Oryzias latipes: one gene and its partner. The protein of the gene in region 1 binds, or shares a complex with, the protein of each later gene. Links are inferred from orthologs where the notes say so. Each region holds a gene or a part of one and is shown in the gene's direction. Other genes may lie near its edges. The genes, in order: prpf40a and sf1.

Region 1 (3,819 bases):
AAAATCCTAGCAATGAGATTTGTTTATTTAACACCATAATCACTTTCAATTTTTAAAATCCTATAAAATGCTGTTTTTGTAGGAATTCTGTCATGACTAGTTTAAACAAAATATATTTTTTAATATATCAGTAAATGTATCATCAAAATATTGGGATTGCTATTTTTTTATACTGATTGACTTTAAAATACTTATGCATGTTTTTATGAAAGGAATGATATTTGTCCTCATGTAATTACAATGCTAACTTTAAGTTAGTTTGTTTCTATACTGCTTTGCTTTAAATATTTTCTTTGGCAGGTCAATAAACTTGAGGATTTAGATTTATTGGTTTTTCCTAAATAATTGACTCTTAAGGGACTTTCCAAAAGTACAAGTTATGAGTTCTGACTGTGTTTTGTTTCTTTTTCTTAACAGTCTTCAACAGAAGCTAACAATGGTCCGAGCCAAGCACCAGCTTATCCGGCTGTACCACCCTCAACAATACCTCCTCCATATGTGAGTGATGGATAATTTTCAAAAATATGTTTTTGTCTTTTTTATTTCTCTGTTGTATTTGGAGTAAATAAGAATTATGTTTGTCTTTTTTTCTCTTTCGCTTCACCAGATGGGACCGCCAGGAATACCACCTCATTTTGCTCCGATGGGAATGCCCCCTATGGGTCAGCGACCTAGCATGACTCCTATGCCTCCTGGTATAATGCCCCCTGGCATAATGCCTCCTATGGCAGCCCCACCATTGGGACAGGTATGATTGTATGACATTTGTACCGCCCATGCAGCTTCTTCTGCAATGTGTTGCAAGAAGTTGGATGCCGTTATTTATTCATGTTATTCAGCTTATGGTTGCATTAATGCTGTGACTAAAGTTACATTTGAGAGCATAGCTTTGTAAAACTAAGATGCTAACAGAAATATAGTTAATGACGATAATAAATATCAAAAGATACAAATAGATTAATTAAATGAAAGCAAAGATTAAATCGACCTTGCCAGAAAAATTTCAAATGAACCATAAAAATCTGTATGTGAAGATGAATGCGATCTGATTGTTTTGGGTTTTTTTTTTTTCAATAAAAACATGGTATTGTGATTGAAACACTTCAGATCACTTTTCAGAATTGAATTAATGTTTTTTTTTTCCCCACAGCCGTCACAAATGTATTTGGGTTTTAAAAGATTTTTAGAAAGAAGTTTATGCCAAGTGACATACCTACAGATCTGAAAGGAGCTGTTTGTTCACAGAGCATAAGCTGTGGTTGGATTTATTTAGACAAGCTTGCTATACTTGGCTTCAAAGTTTCTTTTCTCCTCATTGAAAATCAAGCCTTTTACACGGTCATGCTTTCTCATTCAGAGTGTTATTGCTTAGGCCTGCACTTGCTAGTATGGAAATGCAAAATTAATATTTCATGATGCTCCTTTTATTAGATGCCAGGCATGTTGCCACCTATGTTACCAGGGATGATGATGGCTCCTCGCATCCCAGCTGCGACTGTACAGCCAACGGGACCGGTAATTTTCACAATCTTTTTTCCTCTTTTTATTAAACATACTGTAAAAAAACATGGCTATTTTTCAAATTCAAGAATATCTTCTTAAATAAATTCCAAAAAAATGGTTATATTCCATAACGTTGAAATGTGTAGTTGAAGTTAAAACTGCATGAAAGTCTCGAGTTGTTTTCAGTTGTAGAGTAAGAAGGTGTTTTATCGGTTTTATGTAATGGGTCAAATGGATTTTGGAACTTGAGGACATTTTTGAAAAGCATGAATTTGTTTTTGCTTTCCTAGAGCGTTAACACTAGTCTAAAAACCTTTTTTGTTTCATTTCTATCACTTGTACTTAATGTTTCTTATTTTTAAATGGTGACTAATTCTGTGATTTTTATTTTTCAGCCTGGTGTTGATACAACAGGTACAATCCTTAATGATATCTTTATGATTAATTTACTTCACTGCTGTTATGTGCATTTCAAGCCTATGCTCTCTTTTTGTGTTGATTTTGACAGTTGCTGCACCGGGAACAACTGTAAGTGGATTCAGCGTCTACTTTCATACAATTGACTAACTTCCTGTTTATATTTCATCTTGTTTCTGAATTTATTTTTGTTGCTTTGTTCTAGCAGAACACCACAAATGGAGCTTCACAGGAAGAGCAACCAAAGAAGGTTGGTTCACATTTCAAAACAAAAGTCTTTACCTTGGCTCTAACAAAAATGTTGCATTAACACGGAAAGGGACGCTTTAACGTTGTTGTGTTTTCTGCTTTAGAAGTCTGTTTGGACAGAACATAAATCCCTGGATGGGAAAACGTATTATTACAACACCGAGACCAAACAGTCCACATGGGAGAAACCTGACGATCTCAAATCTCCTGCAGAGGTACAAAAACGCTCATGTCACGATGCTCGAGGGAACTGGGCAGCTTAGCTTACTGCTCATAGTACTGTCCCAAGTTAATATAGTCAGAATCTGTTTATAAAATGCTATTAATGTGCATAAGATAATTTCTTTTCTTTTAAAAAGAGGTTTTATACCAGAATCAAACTTCACTGAATTTTATCCTCTGTAGCAACTTTTGTCTAAATGCCACTGGAAGGAGTACAAGTCCGACACAGGAAAGCCATATTACTACAATTCTCAAACGAAGGAATCCAGATGGACCAAACCCAAAGAGCTGGAGGACCTCGAAGGTAAACAGTTGTCGTTTCCTCAGCCTTTTGTGTGAGAATAAAGCAAATCCAAACCATGGATGTTTAGTGAATGACACTTTTCATAAGCTGCATTTTGACTCGCTACACGATCAAATGCAGGAACACATTGATTCCTTAAGTGAGATCATGTCGGTGTTCGTCTCTTATGAGAGCCGAACCCTCACAGTAAACCCATTTTCTCTCTTCCAGCTATGATCAAAGCAGAGGAGAACGGGTAAGTTTCTCAATTTTCCCTGGGTTACTTTCTACACCTTTTTTTTTACTTCCGATATGTTTCAAAAGTCATCATCCCAAATGTGTCATTTTCTTGGTAATCATAAAAGCATCTGTGGTAGTAAAAGAGCTTTTTATATATATATATATTTATATTTCAGAACAGCAGAGACGGCGGCTGTGACCCCAGGAACTGCTGCTACCCCCACAGTGCAGGCAGACAACACTGCTACGTTGGCTGCAGTGACGGAGGTGGAAACAACAACCGCTGTAGCTACGGCAGCAGCGGCTGCTGCAGCAGCAGTCGTCTCAGAGGAGCTACCGTCCCAGGTGTCCGTGCATCCAGCAGCTGAGGTTAAGACCACAGATGCACCTGTGGTTTCCACCGAGAGTTCAGCTGTGACAGAGAACACAGCAAGGTAAAACATTACAGGCCCTAATATTTGAAAGAAAAAGTTCCATTTCTATGTTTTTCAGCCCTGAACTGTTAAAAGTCTTTAGGATTGTATCCGAACAAATGATTTCTGTGCACCACAGGTACATCAAAATGAGTAAAGGAAGTTATTCATTTTTATTGTAAAACTTTTTCCTATTATTGACAGATGCGACAGATTGCTAAGCTTTTAAAATGATGGTTAGTTTTGAAGCAGTTAAGTGCAGAAATGTTAACTGAGCTAGACTGGAAGTTATTACAAGTGATGATAAATAAATAAGTCATTGACATTCACATTAAAGGCAGTTTTATTTATGTTGATCCCAATTTGCATTAGCAAGCAGCAGTTTGACAAAGAAAGATGCCTTTCCATTACTTCAAATAGTATTTTGGGGTGGTAAAGTTGAGCCTTTAGTGTCTGTTGTTTTTTTTTTTTTTTTTACAAACTCTTACTTAC
Region 2 (4,510 bases), on another chromosome or scaffold:
GATTCTATGTAGATGTTTGTAGGAGACGTCTCTCATCGTGTTATTGATTAATAATTCCTGATCCAGAGTCCACATATTTTAGTCTGGAATAAATATTTCCCCACTAGAACGCAGCAGAGGGAACAGAAATGACATTTTGCTGAAACAGCATGACTTTTTTTATCTTAAGGGCAAAGCTGAAACAGGATTTTCCAACATTAGTGTCATTATTAGGAGATATTTTCATCAAGTTCCGTATTTTTAAAGAGCTGACAGATTTCATTAACAGCATCAAAAACAATGGCGTACTCTGTTGGAGGAACAGCAGGGCAACATTTAAGGTTAAATTCTTTCTTTCTGAGTGATTGACCATTGTGGTTAAAAAGCTGACCCACCAGTAGAATATTATTATTAAACCAATGATTGTAAAATAAAGATTTGTTCTTGTAAAGAATATATCTGTTATTCCAAATAGAAAGGTTATGAGGGGAAAAATAGTGTTTATAAATAAGAAAGAAGAATCTGTCTGTAAAAAGCAAAGAGTTTAACTGGTATTTGTCAATATTATAACTAAAGAGGAGAAGAAAATGGAGAAAACCAACATTAGCAAACATGAGATGAGGGAAAATATTCCAGATTGAGAGTGGATTTTTTTAAAGTATTATTTAATCCTTTTTATGTTAAAAGTATGATGTAACCCTTGTTCTATCCTAGGCACTTTAACATTGGGAGTTGGGTCATCTAGACCCACTAGACAGTGCTCTGAACCTTTTTTCTTCAATGATTTGTGATCTTCACTGGTGTCCACTGTGGAGGACAAACAAGTTTTTTTTTTTGTTCAACATAAAGAAAATGCTGTTTGTATCATCTGCTAATAGACGGTGGCGGTATTCAAAGAAGACAATCTATGACGACATTATGAATCCCGTCAAAAAGAGAAATATGAGAGCTTGCAACTCTCAAAGCTATAATATCTATTAAGTTATTATATGTTTGCTGATTATTATTATTTTCTTTTTTTTCCTGAAGAACCCAGAGAGAATTATTTGATATCAGATCGGGTTATAAGTGGCTTTCTGGGAAACAATAAATATTTACATTTAGGAAACCCTGCGACTGTCACACTTTTTCTGTTTCAAACGGACCCTGGCCCCCGATCAGAGGATGGAAACGTCAAGGGGCCCTCACTGGAAAAAGTTTGGGGACCCCTGGATTTATCAATTAAGGGGGCATAATTAAATAAGAATCTGTCTATACTATTTTTGGAAATAATAATGCTTAAGTCTGTTAAAGTTTCTGTTTCTTTGACAGGAACGTTACAGATTGATTGCACAGAAAATGGACCTTTTTACACTCGTTAGCCTATTTGACGTCATCAGACTGAAGACCGAATTGGCCAATCGTCTTTTAGAGTACAGAATTGAGCTCAGCCAATAGGAATTCTTCTTGTTGGATTGCTCTTCCCCGCGGTTCAACCTTTGTAATATTCTGTTAGCCGCCATTTTGAGGTAGACTGCAGGTAGATGTTGCTTTGTCATTTAGCCTTGAATAGAAGTCCGGATTGAACTGAAGCTGAACGGAGAAGAAGCCATTTCGGTGCTGCGGTAATGGCGACTGGAGCGAACGCCACTCCTCTGGGGAAACTGCACCCCAGCATCGGCGCTAAACGGGGATTTGATGCGGGGCCTGGTGCGGGCAATGGGCTGATGCCCGCGCCGGGGCCGACCGCCTCCTTCCCCGCGATGCCGGGCTTCCAGCCCGCGATGCCGAGCGCCCCATTTGCCCAGTTCAATCCAGTCGGCAATTTTCAGACCCCCGCTCAACCAGCCGCCGTGTCCGGGATGAGCAAGAGTGGTAAGTGGACCGAAAGCCGGGGGGGCTGCTAACGTTTGTCAGGCGGTACGGTGGAACGAACGAAGGCCCGCAGCCAGCGCCGCTTCACGAAATGGAGGCCGTCGCTGGTTTGTAAACAGCTCGGACCAGACAGGACGAGCCACGAGGCGAGCGTCCCGCTCCTGCGCAGGAGCGAAGCGGTAGCTACGACCCGGGTTTGGACCAGTAAAGACGAACTTTGATGCCGTAATGGAACCGGGACGGGCTGGCAGTGCCACGGATTGGAATTTATTGTTGACCTCTCCGTCGTTGCCAGTTTTGTTCGAATATAAAGTTCTTCTAGAAACATCCGTGTTCTCCCAGAGATTCGAGTCTAAAATCAAACCTTTGCACACGAAAAAAACCGAGAGTTTGAGTCAAAAAACAACAAGAAAATCGTTAAAAAGCAGCAAAAGAAACTTGGAGAAAAAGTATAAATTATTAATTAAGGAAGGCCATTAACTTAAAAATAGTATTTACACACATTTGTTTTATGCCGTTATTTAATGTGTTCTCTATTGAAAGTTACTGGTTTAAAACGTAATGCAGCAACGCGCATGCGTGTCGCTATCTGGTCACTAAACTATGGCCAGCCTTGTAGACCTTTAACAAAAAGTTCATTTATTAAAGTCCCGCTCCGATCCTCTTTCGATCTATCGTTAAAGCTTTCTCAGTGGTCTCTTAATTATGATGATGATGATGATTTTATTCCAAATCTAGAAACCTGTGTTGTTTTCTAGAACCTAGTTTCTGAAGAGCCACAGTTAGGAGTTCATTACAAATCACCTCTGAGTTGTGGGAGTGTTGGATTGGAACTTACCCTCCTTCTCTCCCGCTGGCTTACAGCCCCTCACATCACCAAGCTAACATTAGCAGTGAAACAAAAGCAGCAGCAACATCGTAGCTATCCAGCCGTACAGTTTAGATCCAGATTCCAGCTCAGGAAAACAAAGACGTTCATGGATCTATTTGTCTGACAGTGGATGATCAAGAAGGGGCGGAGCAAGAAGACTATAGCACCTACATCACCGCTACAGGCTTTTCCCAACTGCGTTTTTTGTCTGCTCCCGATTCACAATGATTTGACTTAAGAAGTAATAGAAAAGCAGCTTTAATGTTAATATTCTTCATATGTGTCCTTGGTCCTTGAGGAACTGTGAGTTGGCCACCTTTGGCCCATGAACCAGACTTTGGACATGTATATGAAGTGTAGGAAGTTTACTACTGGTAACTAAATACTGCTTCAGACTGAATTGGAACATTTTAAGTTTACATTATAGATGACATGTAAAAGTGAAATTCATGTATACTGCCTGACTTTCAGTATAGACCAAATATACTTGTAGTATACTTAAATAAACTACTTTTTGCTGAGGGTAGATTATTTCATAATAACTGGAAGTTGGTGTTGTTGCTGGATTATCTCTTTCCAGATTTGCCTGAATACTCTGATCGTTTCTTACTGCAATATTTGTAATTTCTGTGTTTGTAGAAAACATTTTTTTTTATATTACAGTGTACCTGTTAAAGGATGACGTAATGCTTGTTTAAAAAAAACAACAATACAAATCGTTTCCACTGTCATTGTTTTCATGGTGATGCTTGACTTTTGCCTTTAGCTTTGGATGATGTCATCTAAAAAAACAACAACTTTACCCCCATTTTGTGCAGATTTCGGAAAGAAAAGAAAGAAAAGCAGATGGAGCAGTGAAACCCCCGATCAGAAGACGATCATTCCCGGAATGCCTACCGTCATTCCTCCTGGACTCACCCGGGATCAAGAGAGAGCTTACATAGGTAAATGTTGCTTTATTCAGCTAAGGTTGGCTTTTAATGCTATAAATGCCATTTTCTCTCACATTTCATCCGATGTATTTTGTTAAGGTTTGGATTTTATGCAAGTGCATACCAGTGTTTATGTTGTTTTGCTAAATTCTCAACAGTTGGAGCTTTCCGCAGACTTCTACAGAATTCCTACCTTTTTTTGTTTTTAAACCAATTTTAATCTTTTTTCCACAACATTATCAAAGTGTGAGAAATCGGATTCTGTTCCAACTGTTGAGATGAAGCTGTCATGTTTAATGACCAATGATTATAACATGTTGAAGCGTTGGATTCTCTTTAAGTGGTGCTGCTGTGTCCTGTAGTCTCTTTGTTTGCATACCATTGGGCTCCCATTAGCAAGATGGGTTTTTGATATCCCAACCTCACTGCCTGCTGATATCTATTCTGAGATCCAGGTCACTGCCCAGTGTCTTGCTTGATCCTCAGCACATCATCAGTGTCGTTTCTGTGCATGAAAACATTGCAATGTTGTAACAAAAATTGGTTATTCAATAATTTTGGTTTTCTGGGGGGGGGTTCACCCTAGCATAACTTGGTCTAAGGGGTATTTCAAAGAGAGACCCTTAATGCTTCTGTTCCCTGTGGCTTTATTGAACACGTAACACAAGTCAAAAGTGAGCGTGAACACGCCGCCAAAGCTTTTTTGATATGTTATATTATAGTGACTGGTGCCCCTGACCAGCATCGGAGGAGCTTCAGGTGAACAGAAACACAAGCGACGCTTAGATTTGCTCTTTGATCAGAGTCTTTGTGGGAAACTGGATTGACTGAATAGTGGGAACAGCTCGTTGAGAGGCTGTTGACCACACTCTTG

The links.
Region 2: the proteins of prpf40a (region 1) and sf1 are in contact, whole or in part, in an NMR structure (PDB 8PXX), measured with the Homo sapiens proteins. The link is inferred for Oryzias latipes from reciprocal best matches to the Homo sapiens genes PRPF40A and SF1. Residues at the interface, in NP_001352526.1 of Homo sapiens: His164, Ser166, Tyr172, Tyr174, Ser181, Thr182, Trp183, Tyr213, Tyr215, Ser222, Arg223, Trp224; in NP_004621.2 of Homo sapiens: Pro575, Pro576, Leu577, Pro578, Pro579, Gly580, Ala581, Pro582, Pro586, Pro587, Pro588, Pro589, Pro590.

The regions. Positions count from the first base shown.
Region 1 is NC_019879.2:20,295,314-20,299,132, reverse strand, and holds part of prpf40a (pre-mRNA-processing factor 40 homolog A), read left to right. Parts: intron 1-417; coding exon 418-498; intron 499-607; coding exon 608-748; intron 749-1,431; coding exon 1,432-1,515; intron 1,516-1,898; coding exon 1,899-1,917; intron 1,918-2,011; coding exon 2,012-2,031; intron 2,032-2,125; coding exon 2,126-2,170; intron 2,171-2,273; coding exon 2,274-2,384; intron 2,385-2,574; coding exon 2,575-2,695; intron 2,696-2,905; coding exon 2,906-2,930; intron 2,931-3,090; coding exon 3,091-3,348; intron 3,349-3,819.
Region 2 is NC_019876.2:29,175,225-29,179,734, forward strand, and holds the start of sf1 (splicing factor 1), read left to right. Parts: upstream 1-1,435; 5' UTR 1,436-1,586; coding exon 1,587-1,833; intron 1,834-3,522; coding exon 3,523-3,648; intron 3,649-4,510. UniProt on the Homo sapiens protein: Necessary for the ATP-dependent first step of spliceosome assembly. Binds to the intron branch point sequence (BPS) 5'-UACUAAC-3' of the pre-mRNA. May act as transcription repressor.